3 linked regions of the Xenopus tropicalis genome follow. The protein of the gene in region 2 purifies or fractionates together with the protein of the main gene of each other region. This does not show direct contact. Links are inferred from orthologs where the notes say so. Each region holds a gene or a part of one and is shown on either strand. Other genes may lie near its edges. The genes, in order: ddx5, cdk9 and immt.

Evidence for each region.
Region 1: the proteins of cdk9 (region 2) and ddx5 purify together in Homo sapiens (affinity purification with western blotting; 3 studies listed by BioGRID, with this or other methods). This does not show direct contact. The link is inferred for Xenopus tropicalis from reciprocal best matches to the Homo sapiens genes CDK9 and DDX5.
Region 3: the proteins of cdk9 (region 2) and immt purify together in Homo sapiens (affinity purification with mass spectrometry; 3 studies listed by BioGRID, with this or other methods). This does not show direct contact. The link is inferred for Xenopus tropicalis from reciprocal best matches to the Homo sapiens genes CDK9 and IMMT.

Annotation. Positions count from the first base shown.
Region 1 is NC_030686.2:51,530,097-51,540,432, forward strand, and holds the start of ddx5 (probable ATP-dependent RNA helicase DDX5), read left to right. Parts: upstream 1-4,466; 5' UTR 4,467-4,484; coding exon 4,485-4,525; intron 4,526-7,108; coding exon 7,109-7,271; intron 7,272-7,670; coding exon 7,671-7,767; intron 7,768-7,843; coding exon 7,844-7,977; intron 7,978-8,058; coding exon 8,059-8,124; intron 8,125-8,804; coding exon 8,805-8,946; intron 8,947-9,024; coding exon 9,025-9,185; intron 9,186-9,587; coding exon 9,588-9,760; intron 9,761-9,999; coding exon 10,000-10,110; intron 10,111-10,266; coding exon 10,267-10,328; intron 10,329-10,336. UniProt on the Homo sapiens protein: Involved in the alternative regulation of pre-mRNA splicing; its RNA helicase activity is necessary for increasing tau exon 10 inclusion and occurs in a RBM4-dependent manner. Binds to the tau pre-mRNA in the stem-loop region downstream of exon 10.
Region 2 is NC_030684.2:24,558,991-24,569,230, forward strand, and holds cdk9 (cyclin-dependent kinase 9), read right to left. Parts: upstream 6,530-10,240; 5' UTR 6,217-6,529; coding exon 6,125-6,216; intron 4,626-6,124; coding exon 4,544-4,625; intron 3,868-4,543; coding exon 3,777-3,867; intron 2,986-3,776; coding exon of another isoform or gene 2,968-2,985; coding exon 2,789-2,967; intron 2,707-2,788; coding exon 2,535-2,706; intron 1,925-2,534; coding exon 1,776-1,924; intron 1,464-1,775; coding exon 1,098-1,463; 3' UTR 782-1,097; downstream 1-781. Other genes in the region: sh2d3c (SH2 domain-containing protein 3C), read left to right, coding at 9,157-9,196. UniProt on the Homo sapiens protein: Protein kinase involved in the regulation of transcription.
Region 3 is NC_030677.2:17,819,740-17,830,075, reverse strand, and holds the start of immt (MICOS complex subunit MIC60), read left to right. Parts: upstream 1-4,517; 5' UTR 4,518-4,645; coding exon 4,646-4,690; intron 4,691-9,306; coding exon 9,307-9,380; intron 9,381-9,821; coding exon 9,822-10,014; intron 10,015-10,159; coding exon 10,160-10,292; intron 10,293-10,336. UniProt on the Homo sapiens protein: Component of the MICOS complex, a large protein complex of the mitochondrial inner membrane that plays crucial roles in the maintenance of crista junctions, inner membrane architecture, and formation of contact sites to the outer membrane.

The sequences.
Region 1 (10,336 bases), on a different chromosome or scaffold from region 2:
GCCACTGGGCACCACATCCAAGGGGTTGGGAAGCACCATGTTCCCCCCTAGCCACTGGTTGGGGATCCCTGCCATACACCATTAGATTTGCTGGTTCGGCGAGGTCACCAAATATGTGGATCTTTCCGCCCATATGACCACATAAGGTGGGCAATATCTGAGAAATTCAATTGTTTGCACCAAGGGGCAAACGATCAAATGAAAACAGCAATAGGAGCCGTTATAGGTAGGACTGCACCAACGAGCCGACAGGGCCCCCGACACAAAATTCAAACCTGCCTGATCGACATTAGCCAATTTTAGGCCAGGTACCGGTCAAGGCCCATACACAGGCAATTAAGCGGCCAAATTGGTCTGACAGACTCAAATTGGCCGCTGATATCTGCCCTTGTTTGAACACCTTAACTAAGGGTGCAGGGAGTCCCTATAAGACTTACTAGTTACCTGAAGTCTAACGGGTGTATTTGGCTACTCAGTGCGGCTAAAAGCCAACTGTTACGCACATATAACACAGTACTAGGCAGGGACACAGTGGGGAGGAATTGGCAGGGACACAGTGGGGAGGAAGTTGCAGGGACACAGTGGGGAGGAAGTGGCAGGGACACAGTGGGGAGGAATTGGCAGGGACACAGTGGGGAGGAAGTGGCAGGGACACAGTGGGGAGGAAGTGGCAGGGACACAGTGGGGAGGAAGTGGCAGGGACACAGTGGGGAGGAAGTGGCAGGGACACAGTGGGGAGGAAGTGGCAGGGACACAGTGGGGAGGAATACGCAGTGACACAGTGGGGAGGAATTGGCAGGGACACAGTGGGGAGGAATTGGCAGGGACACAGTGGGGAGGAAGTGGCAGGGACACAGTGGGGAGGAAGTGGCAGGGACACAGTGGGGAGGAATTGGCAGGGACACAGTGGGGAGGAAGTGGCAGGGACACAGTGGGGAGGAATTGGCAGGGACACAGTGGGGAGGAATTGGCAGGGACACAGTGGGGAGGAAGTGGCAGGGACACAGTGGGGAGGAAGTGGCAGGGACACAGTGGGGAGGAATTGGCAGGGACACAGTGGGGAGGAATTGGCAGGGACACAGCGGGGAGGAATACGCAGCAACACAGTGGGGAGGAAGTGGCAGGGACACAGTGGGGAGGAATATGCAGCGACACAGTGGGAGGAAGTGGCGGGACACAGTGGGGAGGAATTGGCAGGGACACAGCGGGGAGGAATACGCAGCAACACAGTGGGGAGGAAGTGGCAGGGACACAGTGGGGAGGAAGTGGCAGGGGGGAGGAAGTGGCAGGGACACAGTGGGGAGGAATGGCACAGTGGGGAGGAAGTGGCAGGGACACAGTGGGGAGGAATTGGCAGGGACACAGGGGGGGAATTGGCACAGTGGGACACAGTGGGGAGGAAGTGTCAGGGACACAGTGGGGAGGAAGTGGCAGGGACACAGTGGGGAGGAAGTGGCAGGGACAGTGGGGAGGAAGTGGCAGGGGCACAGTGGGGGACAGGGACACAGTGGGGAGGAAGTGGCAGGGACACAGTGGGGAGGAAGTGGCAGGGACACAGTGGGGAGGAAGTGGCAGGGCACAGTGGGGGGAAGTGGGGAAGTGGCAGGGACACAGTGGGGAGGAATTGGCAGGGACACAGTGGGGAGGAAGTGGCAGGGACACAGTGGGGAGGAATTGGCAGGGACACAGTGGGGAGGAAGTGGCAGGGACACAGTGGGGAGGAATTGGCAGGGACACAGTGGGGGGGAAGTGGCAGGGACACAGTGGGGAGGATTGGCAGGGACACAGTGGACAGGGAGGACACAGTGGGGAGGAAGTGGCAGGGACACAGTGGGGAGGAAGTGGGGAGGAATTGGCAGGGACACAGTGGGGAGGAATTGGCAGGGGACACAGTGGGGGAAGTGGCAGGACACAGTGGGGGAGGGCAAGTGGCAGGGACACAGTGGGGGAAGTGGCAGGGGCACAGTGGGGAGGAAGTGGCAGGGGCACAGTGGGGAAGTGGCAGGGACACAGTGGGGAGGAATTGGCAGGGACACAGTGGGGGAAAGGGCCAGTGGGTGGGGAGGAAGTGGCAGCACAGTGGGGAGGAAGTGGCAGGGACACAGTGGGGAGGAAGTGGCAGGGACACAGTGGGAGGAAGTGGCAGGGACACAGTGGAGGAAGTGGCAGGGACACAGTGGGGAGGAATTGGCAGGGACACAGTGGGGTGGCATTGGCAGGGACAGGGGGAGTGGCAGGGACACAGTGGGGAGGAAGTGGCAGGGACACAGTGGGGAGGAAGTGGCAGGGCACAGTGGGGAGGAAGTGGCAGGACAGTGGGGAGGAAGTTGGGGGGAGGAAACACAGTGGGGAGGAAGTGGCAGGGCAACAGTGGGGAGGAAGTGGCAGGGACACAGTGGGGGGGAAGTGGCAGGGACACAGTGGGGAGGAATTGGCAGGACACAGTGGGGAGGAAGTGGCAGGGACACAGTGGGAGGAAGTGGCAGGGACACAGTGGGGAGGAATTGGCAGGGAACAGGGACACAGTGGGGAGGAAGTGGCAGGGACACAGTGGGGAGGAATTGGCAGGGACACAGTGGGGAGGAAGGCAGGGACACAGTGGGGAGGAAGTGGCAGGGAGGGGGGGATGGCAGGGACACAGTGGGGAGGAAGTGGCAGGGACACAGTGGGGAGGAATTGGCAGGGGACACAGTGGGGGAGGAATGGCAGGGACACAGTGGGGAGGAATTGGCAGGGACACAGTGGGGAGGAATTGGCAGGGACACAGTGGGGAGGAAGTGGCAGGACACAGTGGGGAGGAATTGGCAGGGACACAGTGGGGAGGAATTTGGCAGGGACACAGTGGGGAGGAAGTGGCAGGGACACAGTGGGGAGGAAATTGGCAGGGACACAGTGGGGAGGAATGGCAGGGACACAGTGGGGAGGAATTGGCAGGACACAGTGGGGAGGAATGGCAGGGACACAGTGGGAGGAATTGGCAGGGACACAGTGGGGGAGGAATTGGCAGGGACACAGTGGGGAGGAAGTGGCAGGGACACAGTGGGGAGGAATTGCAGGGACACAGTGGGGAGGAAGTGGCAGGGACACAGTGGGGGAGAATTGGCAGGGACACAGTGGGGGAGGAAGTGGCAGGGACACAGTGGGGAGGAAGTGCAGGGACACAGTGGGGAGGAAGTGGCAGGGACACAGTGGGGAGGAATTGGCAGGGACAGAGTGGGGAAGGAATTGGCAGGGACACAGTGGGGGGAATTTGCAGGGACACAGTGGGGAGGAATTGGCAGGGACAGAGTGGGAAGAATTGGCAGGGACACAGTGGGGAGGGGAATTGGCAGGGACACAGTGGGGAGGAATTGGCAGGGGCACAGTGGGAGAAGTGGCAGGGACACAGTGGGGAGAGATTGGCAGGGGCACAGTGGGGGAGGAAGTGGCAGGGGACACAGTGGGGAGGAAGTGCAGGGACACAGTGGGGAGGAATTGGCAGGGACACAGTGGGGAGGAATTGGCAGGGCACAGTGGGGAGGAATTGGCAGGACACAGTGGGGAGGAAGTGGCAGGGACACAGTGGGGAGGAATTGGCAGGGCACAGTGGGGAGAAGTGGAGGGCAGGCAGTGGGGAGGAAGTGGCAGGGACACAGTGGGGAGGAAGTGGCAGGGACACAGTGGGGAGGAAGTGGCAGGGGCACAGTGGGGAGGAAGTGGCAGGGGCACAGTGGGGAGGAAGTGGCAGGGACACAGTGGGGAGGAATTGGCAGGGACACAGTGGGGAGGAAGTGGCAGGGACACAGTGGGGAGGAAGTGGCAGGGACACAGTGGGGAGGAAGTGGCAGGGACACAGTGGGGAGGAAGTGGCAGGGACACAGTGGGGAGGAATTGGCAGGGCTCCTCAGCAGTAGGAACAAAACCTTGAGCGGGAAGGCTCAAGCACTTACTAATGGGGACTGTATGTAGCCCGTATATGTATGAGGCAATATAGTTGTACCCATTGGGTGTGCCTGGCGGGGCTAATAAGGGAACACAGCCTTACTGGCCTTGCCTCATCCCACGCAACACACACTGACTAACATGAGCCACAGATAATAAAATTCCGGGAAAAGGCGCATTGCCGGTCACATGGTCACATCGCTTAGTCTCTGCCGCCATCTTTACTTTGGGCCGGTGTCCCGCTACCAGTACGTGGTCGATATCCCGCTACAAAAGCGGGAGCAGCCGCTGCCCCACGCTCACGGTTCAGTTTGCAATATCGTTGGGGCGGAAGCCAGGAAAAAGGTTAACACCGAGCGGCTGGTCGGTTTTTCTACTTGTTGGACAGGTTTCCCTGAAGCAATATGGCGGCGGTAGGTCAAGGCCCCGCCCCGCGGAGGAATATGGTGACGTCAGTTGCCGGCCGGCCTTATATAAGGTGTGTGCGCGCTGCGTGTTACTTCCCTTCCTGCCGAGCCCTCCCGTCTGTACAGCCGCTCCCGGAACGCCCTTTGTGTAACGCCATGCCCGGATTCAACGACAGGGACCGCGCCCGGGACAGGGGGTACGTACTCGGGGGTCTCCCCGTGAGGTGCCGGCAGCTTCTGGCAGAGGCCAGTGGGGAGTTTGTTTGGGCTTAATGTTTCCGCCCGATGGCGGCTGGTACGGTAGGTAGGCATTATGGGATGTGTGTGTGTGGGGGGCCCATGAGTAACGGGGCTTCCGAGCGATGGATTGTATTGTTCGGCTCCCGGGAGGCGGGGCTCGGCGAGACAAGATGGCGGAGGCACCAGTTGCGGCTCTTTGTCTCTGCACAAAATGGCGGCGGGGGGGGGAAGGGCTCTCCTTCTATTGCCTTGTCTGGCGCTTGTACTGCCCTCCGTACTTGTACTGCCCTCACTCCCTGCCGCCTCCCCGCCGCCTCACTCCCCTCTCCCCGGCCGCCTCACTCCCCTCTCCCCGGCCGCCTCACTCCCCTCTCCCCGGGGCCGCCTCACTCCCCTCTCCCCGGGGCCGCCTCACTCCCCTCTCCCCCGGGCCGCCTCACTCCCCTCTCCCCCGGGGCCGCCTCACTCCCCTCTCCCCCGGGGCCGCCTCACTCCCCTCTCCCCGGGGCCGCCTCACTCCCCTCTCCCTGCCGCTTTATTCTTTTATCTTCCTTTGTCGCTATTTATCCTGGCAGCTGTTTATCTACCCGGGTGTATTCCCCTGGTACTTCCCCCATAGCAACTGCCCTATTGTGTGGCATCTCTATCTGCCTGGGTATATTCCCATAGCAACTATCCTATTGTGTTGCACCTTCTTGTGCTATCTGCCTGGGTATATTCCTTTGGTACTGCTCCCATAGTACCTGCCCTATTGTGTGGCCTCTGTCTGCCTGGGTATATTCCCATAGCACCTGCCCTATTGTGTGGCCTCTGTCTGCCTGGGTATATTCCCATAGCAACTGCCCTATTGTGTGGCATCTGTCTGCCTGGGTATATTCCCATAGTACCTGCCCTATTGTGTGGCCTCTGTCTGCCTGGGTATATTCCCATAGCAACTGCCCTATTGTGTGGCATCTGTCTGCCTGGGTATATTCCCATAGTACCTGCCCTATTGTGTGGCATCTGTCTGCCTGGGTATATTCCCATAGTACCTGTCCTATTGTGTGGCATCTGTCTGCCTGGGTATATTCCCATAGTACCTGCCCTATTGTGTGGCATCTGTCTGCCTGGGTATATTCCCATAGTACCTGCCCTATTGTGTGGCATCTGTCTGCCTGGGTATATTCCCATAGTACCTGCCCTATTGTGTGGCATCTGTCTGCCTGGGTATATTCCCATAGTACCTGTCCTATTGTGTGGCATCTGTCTGCCTGGGTATATTCCCATAGTACCTGTCCTATTGTGTGGCATCTGTCTGCCTGGGTATATTCCCATAGTACCTGCCCTATTGTGTGGCATCTGTCTGCCTGGGTATATTCCCATAGTACCTGTCCTATTGTGTGGCATCTGTCTGCCTGGGTATATTCCCATAGTACCTGCCCTATTGTGTGGCATCTGTCTGCCTGGGTATATTCCCATAGTACCTGCCCTATTGTGTGGCACGCTGCTGGCATATCTGTGTAGTGTCCCCTGGGTATGATCAGTCTGCCTGTAACCAGGAACAAGGTGTACTTGCAGAATATCCCTGCTGGGTTTATAGACTCTCCTACAGTTGCCCCATGCTGGGGCAGAGCTCTCACCTAGCAGTACCTGCAGTCTGGGTGCAACTGCTCCTTGCACTGCTGATTAGGCAACCACTTGGCACCTCCCTCTGTCGGTTTATGTAACACTGGCACGGCATGCCCTCAGGGAACCTACTTGGCATATACCCAGCACAGTTCAGTGGCCATTTTGCATAGGCCTCTCTCCCCTGGGGTTCTGCGCAGTAATGGGAAGGAAGGTGATGCTTCTAACTTAAAAACAAATTATCATTTTCCTGATGGCTTTTCTGGGTCTGATTATGGGCCTAGTGAGGTGCCAGGATGGAATCCTGTAAAGGACCAGGACTGGCATTGGCTGCACTAAAAATAAATGCTTTTTTCTGGCAGTGCCCATTTGTTGTGCCTGCTCATGGAATAGCTGAGGGCCGCACCTCTGTTAAATATACTGCCTGCCAGATATGTGTTGCATCTGATCAGTGTGTGCTGTCTCTGCTCTAAAGCTGGCCACACGTGGTCGCACGAAAGATCGTTCCAACCCTCCACTGACGTTCAGGGCTGAATCGTCCGATAGAGGTAGAAACAATAGGATTTCTGCAGATTCAGCCGTGAAAATAGATTTTGCTCAGGTGTCTTTAATGGAGCCTCCTGCGATCTTGCCATACACGCACCGAATATAAACAAGGTTGGTGTGTGTATGGCCAACTTTACTCTGGGGCTGTCTGAGAGTTGGCTTTGGAGCCCAGGCTTCTCTTTGCCAATGGTGGGATCTCCCCCTAAAGCAGAGTAGTTTGTAGCTTCCTGTGTATTCTTAGTGACTGCATATGAATGGCCCCTTGCATATCGGAGAGCATTGTCCTGCTCTGCATGGCCATTGTCAGTAGGGCAGTACCAAGCCAGGAGTCTGCTTTGTCGCCCAGTTGGTTCTTATTGTTTGCATTGACCCTTTTGTCTTATATTCAGATTTGGAGGTGGTCCTCGCTTTGGGGGAAACCGAGGTGGTACATCTGGCAAATATGGAAACCCTGGGGAGCGGCTTATGAAGAAGAAATGGAACCTGGATGAACTGCCCAAATTTGAGAAGAATTTCTATCAAGAACATCCAGATGTTGTGAGACGGACACCGGTGAGTTTGCTGCCTGATTGGGATGAACCAGCTTGGCACTGGGTACCTCTCACAGCTATCTGCACATTAGGAAGGCTTCTTATTGTATGTTTCAGCTAACATGGGCTGTGCCCTAGGTGTATGGCACCATCTTTTCATAGAAACTGCCTGGCTGGCTAGCACGGGTGGTTATTATGTATTGTAAATGATTGCTATGGAGATCAGTGCTTTGTCCTGTCCTGCTGCTGTTGGATAGGGTGGATATTTACCTGGGACATTCCTTATGGAGAGATTTGGGTGCTCTAGACCCCTGTAATTATAGTAAATAAATGAGTGTTCATTGGGCCACTACACTATCTAACTGAAATGGCCAGGGGGGTTGCTCAGATTACTAAATCCAATATGGACTTTGTTTTGCAGCAAGAATGTGACCAATACAGAAGAAGCAAAGAGATCACCGTACGAGGGCTTAACTGTCCAAAGCCAGTTTTGCAGTTCCATGAAGCAAGTTTCCCAGGTAAATCCCCTGCCCCTCATCTCTGCAGCTCTTTATGTTGTGTTGGAATCGGCCTGACCGCTCTGTCTCCCTATAGCCAATCTCATGGAAGTGGTTAAACGGCAGAACTTCACTGACCCCACTCCTATTCAAGGGCAGGGATGGCCAGTGGCTCTGAGTGGGCTGGATATGGTTGGTGTTGCAATGACTGGATCCGGAAAGACCCTTTCTGTAAGTACTAGGCTGGTGATGCTGTTCATGCTGGCACATGTGCAAATGTTAGTAAGTTAACCCTTTACATCTTGTTTGCAGTATCTACTTCCTGGGATTGTCCATATCAACCATCAGCCATTCCTACAGCGAGGAGATGGTCCAATTGTAAGTAGGCTTACTGCAGAACATCTGAAACCTTCTCTGAGGGCATGGTGTATTTAGGGATGGCTTGGCAATGGGGTTAGACTGTAACAATCTTACTGACCAGAACTTTATAAAAGCACAGCTTTCTCTGAGCAACAGTCACCCCCTAATTAAGGTGATTGAATTGCAGGTCTAAGCTTAATATCCCATGTAGTAGCAATCAAGTAAATTGTGTCGGTGGATTGCTGCTATTCTATACTTGGCAGAAATGAATAGGTTCTGTTGGTATTTGTATAGTGAATTCACTTGGTACTGCATTCAGGTTAATTGAAGTTATACAGTGCTTACCCCTAAATATGTTGACAAAATGCCACAAATTGTTAGGCTGGGGTGAGACTATACAAACCTGTGGGGTGCTAGGGTTCTTGCTTTGTCAGTGATCAAGATGGAGAAAATAGATCTGCATCACAGGCTCTGGAAAAGAACAGAATCTAGAGCAACATTGCTAGCCCTTCATACAAATCCAAAACCATGCAGTCTGTCAGAATATCTGCAGCTTTAGAACAGTGCAGTGCTTTCTCCAAGAATAGAACTCTGCATGTACCTTTTACAATCTGGTGGGAATAGATTTCAGAACCACATCTCTATTTCCAGAGATTTCTGTAAAGACATAAACCATAATCTAACATGTTTCCTTACAGCTTTTGGTGCTGGCACCAACCAGGGAATTGGCTCAACAGGTTCAACAAGTGGCAGCTGAGTATGGGAGAGCTTGTCGTTTGAGGTCCACCTGTATTTATGGGGGAGCTCCAAAGGGACCACAGATACGTGATCTAGAAAGAGGTGAGACATCTCACAATATGTCCTGTGTACCTTGATATCTCCCATTTGCTATGGTTCTAAACAATGCTGTTTCTTTAGGAGTTGAAATCTGCATTGCTACACCCGGAAGGCTGATAGATTTCCTTGAAGCAGGAAAGACCAATCTGAACAGATGCACATATCTAGTGCTGGATGAAGCTGACCGGATGCTTGACATGGGCTTTGAGCCTCAGATCAGAAAGATAGTGGATCAAATTCGAGTAAGTGCAGCTTTGCTTAAAGGAGACCTAGGATAAATGCCTAACAGTCCCAGCCAGAAGCACAGTACTAGGGAAAACCAATCGCAGCCCTGCACTCGCACAAGCCAGGCTTCAGTTCCATATCAGGTCAGCCTAGCTGCTGATTGGTTCCTATCCTACAGTGCAGTGTACTGGGAGCTGCCGGCTCCCCTGCACATTCAGAGAATTCAGTCAGCAGGAAGTGGAACAGATGGGCGGGGGGACTACTGGTATATTGGTGGAATTTCTCACTAAGTCCAAAACACAAATGCAATCCTTCCATATCTAGGAGAATGAATCACTGGTATATTTTTATAGGATGTCTCCTATGTTCCTATGGTCATTCCAACTGTGTGGGATACTTACTGCTTGTTTTGTTTCTAGCCTGACAGACAGACGCTGATGTGGAGTGCCACTTGGCCCAAAGAAGTCAGGCAACTTGCTGAAGACTTCCTCAGAGATTATGTTCATATTAACATTGGTGCCCTGGAGCTCAGTGCCAACCACAATATCCTTCAGATTGTTGATGTGTGTAATGATGGGGAGAAGGATGAAAAGTGAGTTTGTATTAATGTGTAAACTTTTTCTAATTCCCACTCACCACTCTCTCATCTGGCTAACTTGTCCATTACCAGCTGTGGTTACACATTGTAGCAGTGCCAGGCTGCAGTTAGCCATGAAGGTTAGAATAGCATTTTGGCTGCCCTAAGGCATTACTTTAACATAGCACGGCCTTATGCTAACTGAAACGTTGACCTGTTGATGCTGGATTTATGAATTGCATCTTTTCTTTAAGGCTTGTTCGTTTGATGGAGGAAATTATGAGTGAAAAAGAAAATAAGACCATAGTGTTTGTTGAGACCAAGAGGCGATGTGATGACTTGACTCGCAGGTTGAGGAGGGATGGGTAAGGATGATTTCAAACTTTCCATGAGCGCTATTGCACTTCCATTCTATGTCTCTTTAATATTGAAAATGGGGAGGGGCCTGTTTAAACTCCAGATGCTGGTGCTTTATGGAAAGTGTTTTCTTTCATGATGAGGGGAATGTTTTGTACTTACAGGTGGCCTGCAATGGGAATCCATGGTGATAAGAGCCAGCAGGAACGTGACTGGGTCTTAAATGGTAGGCAA
Region 2 (10,240 bases):
TAGTGAGGGAGGGGGTAGAACACTAATCACAGATTGGTTGTTATGCCTTACAGCCCAGGTACTTATGTACGCGGGATAGTAAGGGAGGCTCATTTATCAACACTAGGTAAATTTGTACGTGGGCAGTATCCCATGTCAACCAATTGCATATTTGCTTTTCATTGTTTAATTTGTGATTGGTTTCTACTGGATATTGCACAGCGTTTTTAAATGTGCTCCAGTGTTTTGGGACAGAAGAACTGGGGTATAATAAATCTTAGCCCCCACTAGGAAAGGCCCAAAGCATTCTGGAATATCTAGTCGTCCAGTCAAATATATGTACAAACTGGCCTTATACACAAACATGGCAATTCTTATCAATGGATGACCCTGTTTCAACTGTAGCCCACTCAGTAACAATTGGATCACATGATTAGTTGATTGGCTGAATATCTGTAGAAGCAATTTATGGGCAGGGACTAGGCCACTTAGCAAACCAATGTATGTTTTATACATAAAATGGCCATCCCCCAAAATGTGGAAACAGGGTAGGCAGCATGTTATCACTCATCACTAGTCAGTGTCTGCCTGGAGAATCCGGGCCCATGATTTATTCAAACTTTACCTGTATTTCCCAATAAAACAGCATGGCCAGCATGTGCTGGCTGAAAAACACTGGTGGAGAACACAACCTATGTTCCATGGAAATAACAGATTATTTACAGCGCTGCGGAATATGTTGGTGCTTTATAAATAAATGTTAATAATAATTTAAAATGGCAAGAAAGAAAGCCATAAAATAATAGGAGAACATAAAACTTTATTTACATTCCCTATCAAGTACATAGGTACAGCAGCACAGAAAGCTGTTCGGAAAACTTTCGATTCACTGACCAGTGTGTATCAGCATGGTAGCAAGAGTTTTAGATTAAGTATCACAGTTAAAAGTTTTGTTTCACGAATGCCACGCTTCTGAATATCATTATGCTAACAAAAGTATGCAGCTAGTCCTTATTCCCCATACTATACAGGCTTACTTACAAAGGAATTAAAAAAAATATATATATATTTTTAAAAAAAGTCTTTTTTTTCCTCCCAATAAATAATAAAGAATGTCTTTAAAAGACTCTGTCAAATTCTGATTGGTTTGTGGCAGCAGGATTCCGTGCCTGATTGGCTGGCTGTTGGGGCATGTGCCCGCCTCTTCTCCTAGGAGGTGCCAAGTATTCAAACATGGACTGATTGTGAGTAGAGAGCATGTTCTTCAGATCAGAAGGCATCGGGTCAGACCAGAAGAAATCATGATTCAGGGCGTCATCACTGTCGATTCTCTGAGCCGGGTCCAAAACCAACAGCTTGTCTATAAGGTCCAGTGCATAGAGATCTTTCACATAAGCCTTTAACCTTTCCTTCACCTTTCTTTTCTGGCCTTTGGGCAGTTCCAGCTTCTGGTACAACTCATATTTGTCCACATTTGGCCAGACCTAAAATATATTAATAAAATAAACTATCCGGTTTAGGTGTTTAATTAGATTTACAGATATCTAAGGGTTCTGATCTCTTTCCTAAGCAGAGCAACATCAGAATACAACAGTTACAGGAACCAACCAGCAGGTGACAGCATTGTTAAAAAATTCATTATTGGCAGTTAAAAACTTTAAATACTTAAATAGCTCTGAAACTGAATAAAACATAATTAATGTAAATTGCTTTTTTTTAGTTTAGTTATCCCACGACCAATGAGACCACTTAGTCCTAGATATGATCCTGGACCAGAGCAATTCATTAAAACTCACCTCTGGTGTGATGGAACCGCATAATTGGCTGATGAGTGTTAGCTGATGCTGCTCCGTATTCCCCTGCATAATGGGGCTTCTGGTCCACATCTCAGCCATGATGCACCCTGCTCCCCACAAATCAATGGGAGGACCATAATCACGCTCTCCTACAAGCAGAAAATGGGAAAAATATTATCCACACTGTTTAAAGGGGTAGTTCATCTTTAAATTAACTTTTAATTTAATGCAGAGTGCTATTTTGAAACAATTTGCAAATTGACTTTTGTTTTTTCATTTGTGTTAGTTTTTTTTGTTCAGTTGCTCTTCAAGTTGGAATTTCAGCAGCTATTGGGTTGCTAGGACCCAATTTAACCTAGCAACCAGGCAAAGGTTTGAAAGAGACAGGAATATGAATAAAGGGGGTCCTAACTAGAAAGATAATAAAAAGTAACAACAATAATAAATTTGTTGCCTCAGAGAGCAATAGTTTTTTGGCTACTGGGGTCAGTGACCCCCATGTGAAAGCTGAGTCAGAAGGGGAAAGCAAAAACAATAAATAAAAAATGAAGACCTACTGAAAAGCTGCTATAAACATGCTAAAAGTTAAAGTCCCCTTTAAGATATACATTAGCTAACAGTATATCCTGCATCAGAGCTGGATCAATTGCAAAGACTATTATTATGGCTTCCATCAGACATGAATGTTATGACCCGACAGCTTCCCTTTTTGGGGGATTCAGACTTTATTAGTGCATATAACCACATGACCGTCCTTACCTAGGAGTAGCTCAGGGGGCCGATACCAGAGCGTAACCACGCGATTGGTGTACTTGTTTGGCTGGCTGTTCTTGGCAAGGCTGAATGCTCTGGCAAGCCCAAAGTCTGCAAGTTTCAACACTCCGTCCCTGGTGATCAGTACGTTTGCTGCCTTCATGTCTCTGTGCAGGATCTGTGGGCATGAGTCCATTAGACACAGGTCCTACAAGAACAGTAAATGCCCAGGATGGGAAGAGAATGGAGCACTTGCTCACCTTGTTCCGGTGAATGTAGTAGAGGCCGTTGAGCAGCATTTGCATTACCTTCTTGATCTCGGAGAGCGTGAACTTGACATGAGCATTGCTCAGCAAGCCTGCTAGATCATGCTCACAAAAGTCGAACACCAGGAAAATAGTTCCTTTGCATCTATTGTACTGGTTGGCTGTGGGAGAAACTAGGTGGGCAAGAGAGTCTAGAGCACGGCCCCACAAAAGCAGCATAAGCACAACAGTTGCACATTTACAAAGGGCAGACACCAAGCAGGACCAAATGTGTCCATCAGGGACCCTCATACCAAATGCAGGCACTGTGGCACAACTCTGGCTATGAGTTTATGCCTTAGCATTCTACATAGTTCCAAAAATAATTTGGTCTTGCTAGGTTCCACTTTTATACCCCACTCTCCCCTGCCAGGAACATATTTCTTTTAAAGGGCCATAGAGAGGTAACCAAATTTATTGAGCAAGAGTCTACCCCAAAACAATGCGATGCATATATATAGCAAAGCTCACTGCACTGCTATTTAGACTTATGGCAGCAGGGGTAGCAATAGAGTATGACTGATATACCAAAAGGGCGCAAAGTCAGCCCCTGACAAATAGAGTGATCTGCTTTAGCAAGGTTCCCTACACTCCCCTCCCAGTCAAATTGCTTATAAGCCAATACTGTCAAGTCCACTGGAAACCCTCCAACACCACCTAAACTGTGTTGAAGGACTGGGTCACTGGGTTTAAGGACTGGGTTGTTCTACACCTGGCAGAGGAGATGCTGCAGCTTCCATGCAATGTGTATGGCATTGGCTTGGTTTTCAATTGAAGCAGGATAAGAAAGACAGAGCCAGACAGAGATAGGGAGTCTAAGGGGCAGGACATTCACAACAACCATGCTGTGTGTGTCTTTGGCTGTAAAAGCCACCACCCAAGCTGCAACCCCCCAACACAGCACATGCAGCACAAAGTGAGAGAGACACAAAATGTTTCTTACTTTTTGTCCGACAGATCTCTATGAGGTTAACTACGTTCTCGTGTTTCAGCAGCTGCAGGATTTTTATCTCTCGCAGAGCCGTGATAGGAAACTGAGAAAAAGAACATGATTTCATTAGATAGATGTAGTTAGAGACACACATGTGCCATAATTAAATAATAAACTATATCCTTATAAATGGTGCTTAGTGATGCCATCAGCTATAATTGGCTTTTAGTGATGTTATACCCGTCACATTACTTGGGTATTATAATTAATGGACCTCCCTGTTGTAAAATATGAGAATATTAGACATTACCTTAGAGCAGGGATCCCCAACCTTTTATACCCATGAGCCACATTCAAATGGAAAAAGTGTTGGGGAGCAACACAAGCATGGAAAAAGGTCCTAGGGGTGCAAATAAGAGCTATAATTGGCTTTTTGGTAGCCCCTATGTGGACTGTGGCTTTACATTGGGTTTTTAAGCAACCAAAACTTGCCTCCAAGCCAGAAATTCAAAAATGAGCACCTACTTTGAGGCCACTGGGAGCAACATCCAAGGGGTTGGGGAGCAACATGTGGCTCATAAACAGCTGGTTGGGGATCACCGCCTTAGAGTTTCATGACCTGTATAAAATCACTGGGTCCTTTATATGGCCATGGAACTCCTCTGTGACTTAAAATATCCTTTTATTTTACTATGGGGGTGCATTATTCACTATAAAAATACTAAACAGAATGGTATAAAAGGGTCTTGTTACATGCAGACCACAGCATTAGTACCTACCCCTTCCTTCTCGTTTTCCATCAGAACTTTTTTAAGTGCCACTTTCTTCCCCGTCTGTCGATGTTTGGCCTTGAACACTTCCCTGTGGGTCCAACACATAGAAACAGATGAGTCAATGAGTTCCCAGCATAAAAAAAATAAATAAATGAACTTCCATGATTGGCAGCCATCCTTCCGATAGAAAGGAAAAGCCCTCAGTGACTGTATAATAGGGATTGTACCCTGCAGCTATACAACGACTTAGAACATTCATCTAGGGTACAGTAATAAAACTATACATACAGACTAGGAATAATGGCACATACAGCAAAATTATATTGATAGAAAAACTGTACAGGTATCGGACTCCTTATCCGGAAACCCATTATCCAGTAAGTTCCAAATTACGAAAAGGCCATCTGCCGTAGACTACATTTTAATCAAATAATAAACATTTTAAAATGATTTTCTTTTTCTCTCTAATAATAAAACAGTACCTTGTACTTGATCCCAAAGAAGATATAATTAATCCTTATTGGAGACAAAACAATCCTATTGTGTTTACTGTTTAAATCATTTAATTCGCAAATTACAGTTCTTTCCGTAATTTGGATCTACTACCTTAAGGGCTCTGGCACACGGGGAGATTAGTCGCCCGCGACAAATCTCCCTGTTCGCGGGCGGCTAATCTCCCCGAGTTGCCATCCCACCGGCGAACATGTAAGTCGCCGGTGTGATGGCACACGCGGTGGCACGATTTCTGCAAATCAACGAAAATGCCTCGTGAGGCAACTTCGGCGATTTGCTAAAATCGTCTGCGCAGCGTGTACCATCCCACCGGCGACTTACATGTGTGGGATGGTAGTTCGGGGAGATTTGTCGCGGGCGACTAATCTCCCCGTGTGCCAGAGCCCTTAAGGTAGTAGATCCAAATTACGGAAAGAACCCTTATCCGGAAAACCCCAGGTCCCGAGCATTCTGGATAATGGGTCCCATACCTGTGTAACATGGAACTGTACTTCGCAGAATCCCAATACAGAGACAGGGAATCTGGACAGAGCTATATAGCGAGGAATGATAAGGATATATGGTATGGCACTATAGTTAGAATAGGTATAAAGGGATAAGGTCATAAATATAGATGTGTATATATTACTGTATGAACTATAGATCCATACTAATATCCCAACTATACCTTGTGTACTCCATACTGTATGTACTATAAATCCCTAGTTATAGCCCTTTACATAGCTCAGGTACACATTCCCCTTTTACATAGCTATGTACCATAGATGTATACTTCTACTCCATATCTGTGTCAATAATCTATTTATTGATCCAGGGACAGGTCCGATTGCCATCTTGGGAGTCAGGAAGGAATTTTTTTCCCCTCTGCAGCAAATTAGAGAGGCTTCAGATGGGGTTTTTTGCCTTCCTCTGGATCAACTAGTAGTTAGGCAGGTTATATATAGGCATTATGGTTGAACGTGATGGACGTATGTCTTTTTTCAACCCAACTTACTATGTTACTATGTAATCTCACTCTGTTTGTGTGTCTACAGCTAAAAAGCTATACAAGGATATGGACACCAGATAACTAACCCGAAGGTGCCCTGGCCGATCTTGGCGAGCCGCTCGTACTTGGAGACCTCATCACAGTAAGGGAATTCCACCGAGTCGTAGTTCTTGGCCATGGCGGAGGGAGGGGGTTCCGAGCCGGAAGGCCCTCGAGAATCAGATTCCGGGCACAGGCCGCCGGGCCCCGGCCTTTCCCGGTGCTGAGCCGACGAGTTCAGGCTGTCTGACGGGTTGACTTGGGCTAGGCCGCAAAGCCTCGGACTCCTACTGGGAGACGTGTGTGAAAACACTGAAGGCGTCAGTAGCAGTTTAAGGACGGTCTTAGGCCTTACAGCCTCGGCATTTCTTTCAGTCGCAACCCCGCAGTGGCCCAATAGAATTCGCCGCGCTTGTGTATTCCAACCCTCCGCCTATTCACATGGAATCGCCCAAACACAGCACAGTGAGGGTAATGGGAGGGACCAACTAGCGGAAGGGAGGGGGCTGCTCAATACAATCTAGTCTATTTGCATTTGAACAAAAATGCTATATGGCGGGTGGGGTGACTTCAATTGTAACTTTTGCGAACAGTGTGAAACCATATTTTGCATCACTCAAAGATGTTTACAGTGTCATGTCACTCAATGGCCCAGAGGGGAACTTGAACTTTTGATTAAAAGCAAAGGGTTTTACATTTTGCTAAGAGAAAAAACGAGTTTTGCAATCCGTGTTATTTGTTATGGGAGGATTATAATGATTTCTTTTCCGCCAATGTTCAAATCTGGGGTTCCCTACACCTGTTTCTAGGGCAACTGACCAAGGCAACAGATATGAGAGAGACACATCAAACTGCAATCACAGGTATTGTAGAACTAGAACTAGTTGGGTTATTGTTATTAATGCAACAGTGCTGTACCAGAGAAGCATTATATGTCAAACATACAGATACTTATACACAGGGTCAGATTGAATTCCAGGTTTTATTTTTGTGGCAAGTGGAATAGGGATTTGCAAAGAGATATTTATACACAGGCCAAGAATCAGCCCTGTGTTGCCTTACCTGTACCCAAGCTATGGTTGCTACCTATTCTGAAAAAATATACCGGCCTTCCTATATTTTTAACTTTATAACCTATTAATAACATTGGCATCAAGCGTAATTTTTAACAGCCAGGCTGGTAAAATACTGGCCCAGCTGCAACATTACCCAAGGTCCAAACGAGGGGTAGGCACAGTCCATTTCAACTAAACAGATGCCCAAACAGTCCCTCAAATAGTGACTGTCTATGGCAGTGTTTTTCAACCTTTTTTGGGCAAAGGCACACTTGTTTCATGAAAAAAATCACGAGGCACACCACCATTAGAAAATGTTAAAAAATTTAACTCTGTGCCCAGCAGCAGTGCCCCCCTAGTACACTGGTGCCCAGCAGCAGTGCCCCCCTAGTACATTGGTGCCAAGAGCAGTGCCCCCCTAGTACATTGGTGCCCAGCAGCAGTGCCCCCCTAGTACATTGGTGCCAAGAGCAGTGCCCCCCTAGTACATTGGTGCCCAGCAGCAGTGCCCCCCAGTACATTGGTGCCCAGCAGCAGTGCCCCCCTAGTACATTGGTGCCAAGAGCAGTGCCCCCCTAGTACATTGGTGCCCAGCAGCAGTGCCCCCCAGTACATTGGTGCCAAGAGCCAGCCCCCCTAGTACATTGGTGCCCAGCAGCAGTGCCCCCATAAGTCAGTGTGCCCCGTGGCCCCCCCTAATACATTGGTGCCCAGCAGCATTTTACTTCTGCTCTTCGGCGGCTTCAGCAGCATCTTTCCCTCACGCGCGCCGCCTCTGCACTTCTGCCTACACGCGACCGCACACAGGCCCTTTTATAACGTTGCGCCCCGTGCGTACTGACGTCACCCGTACACACGGGGCGCAACCAATGACAGGGCCCGGATTTTATTAAAGGGGGCCCGAGCTACTAAGAAAAACTGTAGCATCGCCGGGCCCCCTTTGAAAGTAAAAATTGCGGCCCTGCCTACGGCACACCAGGCAACATCTCGCGGCACACTAGTGTGCCGCGGAACAGTGGTTGAAAAACGCTGGTCTATGGCATCCTACAGAAGCCCCTCTGGCATTTGCCAGAAACCGCAAATTGCCAGTCTAGGCCTGGGTAGAGAAAGACAGAAGAGGTATGTGCCTAGCATCCCACCACCACCACCAGAATTGATCCATATGCATGTGCCTCTTCTGCCAACCTCTAGTAGCTGCACATCCACCCTCTGATGGACCCAGGTCTGGACTGGGAGTCAATATAGGCCCTGGCATTCCAAATACCCAGAAGCCCAAACTGCCTCCCACCAGCCCACTAAATAATGACTGTCTATGGCTTCTTACACCAGGCCTGCTGGCATTTGCCAGAATCCCTGTGCCATAACAGGATGCAGCGGGTGCTGTGACTGCTTTGGGCCAGGAAAAAAGAGGGGCCTAACTTATGCAATTTTAGTACAGGTTTGTAATCAGATTGTTCCTTTCTAAGTAAAAACATTGGAAAAAAGTCTGGGGGCCATAGAAATTTTCAGTTGCACCTCAAGATTTTCTGATACTAATTAGTGTGCGCTGGGGCCATGCATTAATGCATGCCTTCAGTCACAGGAAGCTGGCAGAGGCAGACAGAATACGGAAGCCAAACATGTTCCCTGTATATAGTACTGATGCACAATGCACAGCCGGGCACCTCACAGGGCCAGCCAATACTACCAGTGGCTCCTGAACAGAAAATGATCAGATCAAAGGGAGTTGTCATTTGTTAGATGTTCAGCGAAAAGTTGCTCCTTCTTAACTCACACCCAATTTGTGGTTCAAAGGCTCATCTCTAAAACAAAAAAAAAAACCACAGTGGGTGTCAGAAAAGTTACAAGTTCACAGGGCGGGGGGGGGGGGGGCCATGTGCGACTATTACCCAAGCAGAAGGAAAGGAAATAAACCGCCAGAGTCGAGAAGCAGAAGACGTGCGTTACACTCATTGAGAATAAGTTACAGAAACTGAGGAATTTTGCACCTGGGACCTGGCCTTGCCACCCCCTGACCTGATAAAATGGGGGACCCTACAAAGAAACCCACGAACAAGAAATTCCGTAAGTATGAGCAGCATTCTTCTATTTTCTTGCATGCTTTATTGTGTGCACCTTGCATGCACCAGTGCAAGAGCATGCTGCAGCTCAGAACACTGAGTATAGCCTAGTCACTATAACCATACTTGCTTCGCGCTGCATAGCTGTCTCTTTGGCAGAGATGCAGGGCTTCTCATGATGCCATTATCACCTGGGTTGTGTTGTTCTGTTCAGTATGGCTGCAGGAACTTGGGTATAGTAGACTGTAATGACCCTAGAGGTAGCTGCGATCCGAAGATGCTGACCATGTAGTGCCCACATGCAGTGAGAATATGCTATATTTGTAGGTTACTTAATTATCCTTTTTATAGCTCCTGCATATTTTGCAGTGCTTTATAAAGATTAAACATCATTCCCATCAATCCCTGCCTCAGTGGATCTTACAATCCAAGGTCCCTATCACATTCACACACACAAGGGGAAGTTTTATCAGCAGCCAGTTAACCTGGAGAGTGGGTGGAAACCGGAGTACCCAGAAGAATTCCCCATAGACACTAGGAGAATACATAAATTATCTATTGTGGAAAAAAATCACTGTATTAAATGGAATCACATTCTGTCCTGACTACAAGATTAAAGGGGAACTCTACCCAAGAATGTGTTTTGCATAATGAAGAAAATATACTGTGCTTTTTTGATGATGAAAATCCCTGATGGAGGTTCTGTTCTCAGGAAATTACATAAATTACAAACCAAACTTCTAAATATTATAATTATTATTATTACTACAGGTATGGGATCCATTATCCAGAAACCTCCAAATTACGAGAAGACCATCTCCCGTAAAAATGATTCCCTTTTGCACCTGTTCCAAACTTAGATATAATAAATCCTTATTGGTGGCAAAATAATCCTATTTAATGTTTAAATAATTTTTCGGTAGATTTAAGATGTGTAGATCCAAATTACGGAAAGATCCCTTATCCAGAAAACCCCAGGACCCGAGCATTCTGGATAACAGATACCATACCTGTATTGACATGTATATATACATGTATAAAGTGCCAA
Region 3 (10,336 bases), on a different chromosome or scaffold from region 2:
CCTAAGAAAACTGGAAAAACCTATTGACTCGAGTATAAGCCTAGGCATCCATTTCTTTTAACACACCTGCACACTAGCTTGTGTCCGAGTAGTAAGGGCAAAGTAGTAAGGGCAAAGTAGTAAGGGCAGCGCCGGATTACTTGTCCAACCGGCCAGCCATCTAAATGTTATCATTTAGATGGTTTGCATGTAGCAATACAGTGATATCCCGGCTCCTGCAATGGCTGCTGTCTGTACCACAAGCACAATCACACACAATCACTAAGAAAAGATAGGAAAGACAACTTATCTGGAAAAGTCCCAATCATTCTGGATAATAGGTCCTATTCCTGTTATGGCTGATTGTCAGTGAAGGAACCACACAACAGAATCTGTTTAGCAAACTGTGGCTTTCAAGTCAGAGCAGTTTCACTGAGGTGCTCCTCGCTCCTCTCACAGGCAGCCTAGTCAGTTGGAGGCAGACACTTTTATAACTAGGGATGCACCAAATCCAGGATTCGGTTCAGTATTCGGCCAGGATTTGGCTGAATCCACAGTCCTGGCTGAACCGAATCCTAATTAGCACATGCTAATTAGAATTTGGATGGGGTAAATGTCCGCGTGAATTTTTTTTTTTTACCCAATGCTAATTAGGATTCGGTTCAGTATTCATCCGAATCTTTTGGAATGGAATTGGGGGGTTCGGCCGAACCCAAAAAACTGGGTTCAGTGCATTAATATTTATAACACAGAAGCGAGGTTAATTAAACAGCATTGACCTTAAGGGCCCCATACACGGGCCGATTCTAGCTGCTGATATGGGTCCCTTAGACACTACCGACAGGACTGCCAGACCGATATCCAGCCTGAAATCAGCCAGATCTCTATCTCGGGTATAGACTTTGCCTATACCCCCAGGGCCAAATGATTGAATTAGCCTGGATTCTCCCAATATCGCTCCCACCCAACATCGCCAAGCGAGCGGTTCTTATGGTGTATAGGCACCTTTAGAGCTGCTGGCAGAAATATTGCTTCTCTTTCCCACAAAATCCCTCATTCTGCCACACTGTATAGAATAGATAGGTTATACAGAGTATATAATAATACAGAGTAGATATAGTTATATAGGTCCATGCCAGATTACCATAAGGGCAGCACAGATAGACGCCCATGGTTTCCAGGGGAAATAGTAATGTGAAGCTGGGGACTGGCCTGGGACAGATCTAGGGCATGAGGCCGGTATGGACTGGGATACAAAATAGTCCCTGGCATTGCAAGTACACAGAGGCACAAACAGCCCCCCCCCAGCCCAATAAATAGTGACTGTCTGTGGCACCTTACAGCCCCCCTGGCATTCCCAGTACCCAGAGGCACAAACAGCCCCCCCAGCCCAATAAATAGTGACTGTCTGTGGCACCTTACAGCCCCCCTGGCATTCCCAGTACCCAGAGGCACAAACAGCCCCCCCCAGCCCAATAAATAGTGACTGTCTGTGGCACCTTACAGCCCCCCTGGCATTCCCAGTACCCAGAGGCACAAACAGCCCCCCCAGCAGCCCAATAAATAGTGAGTGACTATGGCACCTTACAGCAGCCCCTCTGGCATTCCCAGTACCCAGAGGCACAAACAGCCCCCCCAGCCCAATAAATAGTGAGTGTCTGTGGCACCTTACAGCCCCCCTGGCATTCCCAGTACCCAGAGGCACAAACAGCCCCCCCAGCCCAATAAATAGTGACTGTCTGTGGCACCTTACAGCCCCCCTGGCATTCCCAGTACCCAGAGGCACAAACAGCCCCCCCCCAGCCCAATAAATAGTGAGTGTCTGTGGCACCTTACAGCCCCCCTGGCATTCCCAGTACCCAGAGGCACAAACAGCCCCCCCCCAGCCCAATAAATAGTGAGTGTCTGTGGCACCTTACAGCCCCCCTGGCATTCCCAGTACCCAGAGGCACAAACAGCACCCCCAGCCCAATAAATAGTGACTGTCTGTGGCACCTTACAGCCCCCCTGGCATTCCCAGTACCCAGAGGCACAAACAGCCCCCCCAGCCCAATAAATAGTGACTGTCTGTGGCACCTTACAGCAGCCCCTCTGGTATTACAGATTGCCAGTCAGACCTGCCATGATGCACTGCCCCAACCCCACGGCCAACGTTACTCTGCCCCCTGGGTGTGCTCAGGACATAGCTGGGGATTTCTCGTTGGGCAGGACTAAAACCCTTCAGAAAATCACCTCTGTGTCAGTGTGCTGAACCCCTTCTACCACCTTTCTGAAGAGTTACATAGTGCCATTGTGAGTGGATTAGTGGAAGAGTACATATGCTGAGGGCTTCCCATACCAGTCAGTTGAACTGAAGAAGCTGCTCGGATGAGTAGTGAAATGTCTTCAATGATCACCAAACAAGTCCAGTTGCTTTAAATTTATTTATACTAGATAACCCCTTCTAATGTTTTAAAACATGGTTGACAGGTAAAACAAATAAAACTAGTCATTTATTATTATTATTAATAGCATTTATTTATAAAGCGCCAACATATCCCGCAGCGCTGTATAATAAGTGGGTTCCATACATTGGCATACCTCCCAACTGTCCCGCTTTTCGCGGGACAGTCCCGACTTTCATTACTCAGCCCGCTGTCCCGGATTTTTGTTTAAATGTCCCGCTTTTCAATTGCCCGCTTGTGACTGTGACGTCATGATTAGACTGCTCCGGGAAGCACAGAAAGATTGTGATGTGAACGCTGCAACGGAGATTCCAAGCCGACAGGATGGATTTATTGCTGTTGCCCTCTGCTCTTTTATGGCTCCTTCTCCCCTGCTGCCAGTATGTATGTTAGTAGCAGCTCACTACAGAAGCCTCCCTGTCTCCCACTCCTACCAATTCCTCCCCCCTTCCCGGTACCAGGCCCGGATTTGTGGAGAGGCCACAAAGGCCCGGGCCTAGGGCGGCAGAAGTTTAGGGGCGGCATGCCGCCCCGCCGCAAAAAAAAAATTAAATTTGGCTCCCATACGGAGCAGTCGGGACCTCTCCCCACTGCTCCGTATGGCATTTTTAAAGAGCGCATGCGCACTGGTGGGGCCGCTTTCGCGCATGCGCACAGGAGGGCGCGCTTTCGCGCATGCGCACTGGGGGCGCTTTCGCGCATGCGCACGGGTGGGGAGGGGACGACCGACAGGGGTGGCCTCGGGGCGCCCAAAACAGAAATCCGGCCCTGCCCGGTACAAGTTTCACTAAGCTGTTTACCTGCTACCCCCTACACCTCTTTCACTGCTGAGCTCTCTTTAGCTGTCTCCTTCTGATAACCTCCCTACCCAGAGTTATCCTGAACCTTTAGGCCAACATTTCCTTAACCCCAGTCTTCCTTACTGGTACAGGACAAAACCCTGATGGTGGTCAGTGTATCATCTATAATACTACCTGCAGGGTAATTAGCTTAACCATGTTAGTTTGCTACAACTCCCTGCATTCATTAATATCTAAAATACATTTTGCTTTCTATTAAAAGTATTGCTGAAAGGATATTGCCTTATACTTCTCACTGTAATGTATGCCTTATACATACACTGTAATGCTTGTGCAACAATGAGTGTCATGACATGCTGTGCTACTGTGTATGGGGGCACTGTGTATGGGGGGCACCTGTGTATGGGGGGGCAAAACTGGTACATAGTTATAACTCACATATAACTCACTGCCTTCTCTCTATATTTGTATTTATATGTAGGAGTTGCTATAATGTTTCCCTTAGGCAGTACAGTATGAGAGTATAGCACATTTGCGTCTGATCCCGCCATTTTAACTATATAAAAGGAGTATTTTTTTAATGGGGTGTGGTAATTGGGGCGTGGTCACAAAAGAGGGTGTGGTCAAAAAAATTGCCGCGCTGCGCGCACCAAATCTTTTTGTCCCTCTTTTCATTTTTCAAATGTTGGGAGGTATGCATGGGACATACAGAGTAACATATAAAGCAATCAATAACCGATACAAGAGGTGAAGAGGGCCCTGCCCAAAAGAGCTTACACTCTACAAGGAGACATACAGAGTAACATATAAAGCAATCAATAACCGGTACAAGAGGTGAAGAGAGCCCTGCCCAAAAGAGCTTACACTCTACACAAAGTTATTACAGAAACAGCTGTGACTTGTGAAACTATGCAAAGGATAGTTCTCTAGGTGTATCAGCTGCTTCTGCTACATTGCTGTGAGTCAGAACCCGCGGTGCACAGACTGTAACCAGGCAGGCACTGCTTTCAGCCATCACAGAGCTGCACAGAGAGTGTAAAGTTTATTTTAACCACATTTTATTGCGCAAAAGCCAGTTTCATGGTGAAAGTCCCCTTTATTAATACGTAGTGCGAAAAGTCATGTGGTACAAACTCTATAACACTGCGATAAACCACAACACACGATATCCCTGTTAGGAACTACAAGTACCAGCATGCCCCAGCCATGAGACCCGTATTGGATACGCAAATCCCTATCTTGTTCTCAGAAGTGTTATTAATAAAGCTGTTGAATTAAAAAAAAAATCAAGCTGTCATGCCATAGTGGGCGTACCCCGGCGAATGACGTAGGCGGAGCTAGAGGTGCTACACGGACCGCGCCTCCATTCATGCCGTACTGAGAGCGCTCCCGGAGCTTGCCCTCCCCATCACACCGGAGAACATGCTGCGGGTGTGCAGGAAGGCCCAGGCGGCGGTGCTCGCCAAGGTGAGTGGATAGCGCGAAAGAGTACACAGTGTTGCAGTGAGGGAGCTTCTAGTTGGGAGAATGGGCGGGGATGGATTCTGACAGGATATCGCCTAAAGGCCGGGAAACAGCAGTACTGAGCCTTACGAAGTAAGGGACCCCGGCTTCCAAGGCTGGGAGCCGTCAGCGGCGCCTAGGACTTCCTTTCACTCCAGCCAATTACAGGCAACCGCTTTAACAAGCTGCAGGCTGACCGGCCAATCAGATTCCAATGTCCTTGGCACTTTAGCCAATTACCCCTTGGTTAAATATATGACGCTGCTCGGGCGGGGCTAGCGTTAGATTGACGTCTGTTAGACCTATAACGTGGTTAGTTGTTTTGACGGACGTTCTGTGAAGCCAATGAGCGATGTATATTTTGGCAGGTAGAATGGAAAGCTATAGTGGCGAGGGACTGTGAGGCGGCATGGGGCTAGGTCACCGGGGCACACGGCCTGTATACGGCCTAAAGTTTATTTTAGCCTCAGTGGCTAATTGTACCCTCCTGCGAGAGCGCCCCTGTCTGCATAAACCCCACTTGTCTTTTGCCTGTAGGTGTGACCTTGCTTGGTGTCCCATCCCCAGGGCCTAGCTCCTATCTGGTGCCAGGGACAGTACAGAGAGTGGCAAAGAGCTTAGTTAAAGTTATTGGACCACAACTCCCAGCATCCCTTGACAGCCTTTTGCGACAGTTAAGGTTTGCTTTTTGATTGGGAGAAAATATCATCTTTTCATTCTTCCATATAAATTGTATAAAAGCGCTGCTTCACCTTCACCATTGTGTCTTTTTATTACTTATCTTTCTATGTAGGCCCTCTTCTATTCATATTCCCATCTACCTTTTAAACCACTGGCTGGTTGCTAGGTTAAATCGGACCCTAGCAACCATACAGCTGCTAAAATGTAAAATTGGGGAGCTGTTGAACACAAAGAAAAATATATCAAAACCTGCAAGTAATTAAAAATGAAGACCAATTGCAAACTGTTGCAGAATAGCACTCTCTGCATCATACTAAAAGTTCATTTCAATGTAAACTGCCCCTTTATATGTACATTGTGTTGTATGAAGCAGATCTAATGATGTATAGAGCGTTGGCACTCTGCCTTCTACTTTCTAATCTGTATCTGACCCCAGCCCAGGGTAGGAATCCTTATACAGGTGTACTAGGGACCTGGGGAAGGTATATTTCCATTATTTGGATCTCCATACTTAATAATTAAAAGCTGAAATAAACCCAGTAGGATTGTTTTGCCACTCACATGGATCTGTGCTGCTTAGTTACCATCTCATACAAGGTACTGTTCTAATATTTCAGAGAAATAGGAAATCGGAATTATTTGCTTATAATAAAGTCTGCAGAATATTAAAGATGAACTCTGGCTTCTGCGCCAAAATGTGTTACAGAGCCCCACACAGCACAGAAACCCCCCAAATCCCTATCACTGTAATCTGTTCCTTCAAAAAGTAGGAATAAATACCATTTTATATGCTGAAATCCAGCTGCAAAACAGTTCTTCTCTTTCTGCATCATTTGAAATCCTGGCAGGGGAGAAGGGACTAAAACATTGATGTTACAAATTGTAACAACTTCTCCACAGCTTACTGACAGCATGCAGGAACCCACAAATTCTCCGACATGGGGGCAATATCAACAGGAGCCAGTTAACTTTCCCCTATATTGCTGGAGGATGCACAGCAATGGCACAGAGGAACGTTACTCAGATGCCAAGCACACAGTGCCCAATCTGCACGTAATGCTCAGCAATGTGGGGCAGGAATGCTACTTAACGTGCCACCCTGCTCCCATTGATAGCCGTGCCCTTGGATGTTGATATGAATAGGTCACTATGCTATCTTTTTTTACCCACAATGCAGTTTTTATCCCCCCCCCCCAGCAAAATGGCAGGTACCCTCTAAGGCTTATGGCACAAGGGGAGATTTTCTGCCCATGGCTAAATCTGGGCTGCCGCGGGCAAGGAAATAAGCACTGTATATGCTTTCCCACTGTCAACTTACTTTACTGCTGGTTGCAAAGCATTTTGGGGAGATTTGTCACCCACAGTAACCCAGATTTAACCAAGGGTGACAAATCTCCCCTCAGGCCCAAAATGGCAGTCTATGGATTGCTGTAAGGTGCCACAGACAGTCACTATTTATTGGGCTGCTGGGGGGCTGTTTGTGCCTCTGGGTACTGGGAATGCCAGGGGGGCTGTAAGGTGCCACAGACAGTCACTATTTATTGGGCTGGGGGGGCTGTTTGTGCCTCTGGGTACTGGGAATGCCAGGGGGGCTGTAAGGTGCCACAGACAGTCACTATTTATTGGGCTGGGGGGGCTGTTTGTGCCTCTGGGTACTGGGAATGCCAGGGGGGCTGTAAGGTGCCACAGACAGTCACTATTTATTGGGCTGCTGGGGGGCTGTTTGTGCCTCTGGGTACTGGGAATGCCAGGGGGGCTGTAAGGTGCCACAGACAGTCACTATTTATTGGGCTGGGGGGCTGTTTGTGCCTCTGGGTACTGGGAATGCCAGAGGGGCTGCTGTAAGATGCCACAGACAGTCACTATTTATTGGGCTGGGGGGGCTGTTTGGGCCTCTGTGTACTGGGAATGCCAGAGGGGCTGCTGTAAGATGCCACAGACAGTCACTATTTATTGGGCTGCCGGGGGGCTGTTTGGGCCTCTGGGTACTTGTAATGCCAGGGACTATTTTGTATCCTAGTCCGGGCCTGTATCCCTGTGTGTCCTGTGAGCTGCAGCCTGTGTGAGGGGACAGATTATCATCCACTTTGGGAAATTGTGGTGCCGTGTGTGTTGCCAGTTTTTCCTAATTGCTGTGTGTGTGCCTTTATTTGTGCCAGTAATGCAGGGGGGCATCAGCTAGTTTGCAAATGGGTTGCATGTGTGGTTGCGTCAGTACAGCCGGCATGAAGGCTTCTCACTTACCCATGGGCCCTGTACCCTGGGCGCTGTTCCTCAGAGCAGGCTGAACTGCTGCAAAGTACAAGGTGTCGGTGTAAATAAGATTTAAGCACACAGAATTGCATGTGTATATGAGCCTTAATATGTACTATACATTTGTTTCACTAGTTGTACAGGTGCAACGTGGAGCTGTTTGGGTGAGGGGGCTGTTTGCTTTCTGCCCTGATCTGGTGGCTGCACACTTCCTTGTGCTGTATATATGGGGTACCCTTCACAGGGGTTTGTCCGGTTGCCATTGATCATTGGTTGTGTATAAAGGAAATATTTCCATTCATGTTCTACTTATCTTATGTGCAGTGTAACATTCTGCAGTATACTAATAGTATCTAATGATAATGATTTACAGACCGCAAACACACACTCTAAAGGTCCCCATACACGGGCCGATAGTAGCTGCCGATATGGGTCCCTTAGACCGATTCGGTAGCTAATCAGCCCATGTATGGGCGCTACCGACGGGCCTGCCCGACCGATATCTGGCCCGAAATCGGCCGGATCTCGATTGGGCGGGTTAGAAAATCTAGTCAGATCGGGGACTGCATCGGCTCGTTGATGTGGTCCCCAGACCGACTTTGCCTATACCTGTCATTATAATTCGATCATTTGGTCCCAGGGCCAAACAATCGAATTACCCTGGATTCTCCCAATATCACCCACCCGTAGGTGGGGATATCGGGAGAAGATATGTTGCCAAGCGAGCGGATCTTATGGTGTATGGGGACCTTTACTTGCAAATAAAAACTCTTGTGAGTTTATTTATTTACTAACTTTTGCTCCGGGTCTAGTAACTCATGGCAACCAATGATATGATTGCTTTCATGATTCTGACTGCTCTAGACCAGTACAAACTGCTACCCAATGCCCTGTGGGGAAATGCCTAATATGCAGTTGGTTACAAGGACATTCTAAGCACAATATTCCCTAAATTGGGGTTCAGGTAATAACCTTAGGGAAAGAATGGGGTAAAGCAAGAACATGTTATGTAGCTATTTTAAAGACTTTACTGAACTGTAGAGCTGTTCTGTTGTTGGAACTGAGGGGTTAATCATATTTTGTGCCGGCTGGTGTCTCTGCTGGATTTTCCTTTGTAACCTTGGTAACCCATGAATTGGCACCCTGTTAGTGGAACGTATTCCTGCCAGGCATCCTGCTGCAGCACCCTCTGCTCTTGCGGTTGGTCTCGGCCGGGCTGGGCAGGCGCCTTTGAGCCTCCGTGGAACCAGTGAGTCATTAGGAAACCAGGAAATGTATCTGGCTTGTCTGCAGCATCACTTGGCATCATTTACTTGCCGGGGCCTATGAGCAGTACTGATCTCCCATACTGACTGCACTGGTTAATAGGAAATATAATGTCCTGGAATTTCCATTTCAAAGGAAGTGCTAACAGTTACACACAGCCTCTATAATGTATTGGCTTTGATACCAGTGCTCCCAGTGCACCCAGATGTCACTTCCCTGCAAGTTAAACCTATAGTGATTATGCCACCGGGGGGGCTACTGTAAGATGCCATAGACCTGCCCTTTCTATTAGGCCTGAGGGAGGGATGTATGTGCCTCTGTGTATTTGGACTCTCAGGCTGTGCATAATCAATACATTTTCCTTGTTTGTTCTCTATTAGGAATGCCTGTGTAGCAGAGTATCCCTCCGTCCCTTGCGTGCAGCCAGATCCTACTCTACTGCTGAATCATCTGGGTATGTGTGGCTTTTTCTTGCAGCTTGTTTAACTGTTATACCCCAGTTTTTCTTTTAAAACCTCTAGTGGAATGGGAAATAATATACAGTTACACTTTTAGTCAGTGGTTATAGGCCTGCCCATGTAGCGTGCCCAATTTAGCCTCTGATATGTATAAGCAATCTATAGGCCTGTATAAGGCTTTATGGACAGGAGCCTTACTAATGTGCCTATTACTGCCCCATAAGGAAGGGTAGCAAAGCTGCACCGTGTGTTAGTAAATGGGCCCATGTTTGTATATTTTGGCATCAGATGACTTTGCTTTAGGGCACGTGTATTACTGCAGGGTGAATCATGTACATCCATTATCCATGATGGTTCCATTTGTAGCTAATCCTTTATTTACTAAGTCTCAGTAGGCATGCAGTCTGACCAATTTACTACTTTGTTTCTTTTTTCAGTCCCTCTGCTGCAAAGATCATTGGTGCCGGCATCTTGCTCACAGGCGGAGGCATCGGGGGCACTGTCCTGTACGCCAGCTGGGACCCACGATTTCGAGAGAATGTTGAGAAGACTATTCCCTACTCCGACAAGCTGTTTGACTTGGCTCTCGGGCCTCCTGCTCCAGCCAGTCTGCCTGTGCCAAAGAAACCAGTAAGACATATATCCTGCCTCTTATATTAATAATAATAATAAGGCAAATTAGTTTTGCATTTGCCGATTAGAGGCAAATTCACTGTACTCCAGTAGTCCTTCCAAATTCCTTTGCACAAAATAAATGCATTATACTTTTTTTCAGCTAAAATCGGGCCCACTTCAGATTTCCTCTGTGTCTGAAGTGATGAAGGAATCCAAGATGCCTAAGAAAGAGAAGGTCGAGGCTCGTCTACCAACTCCTCCTCCCCCACCTACGGAAAATGTGGATTTGGAAGGTAACGGTGCATATGGTGGAATGGGGGAGCATGGGAGAAACTGC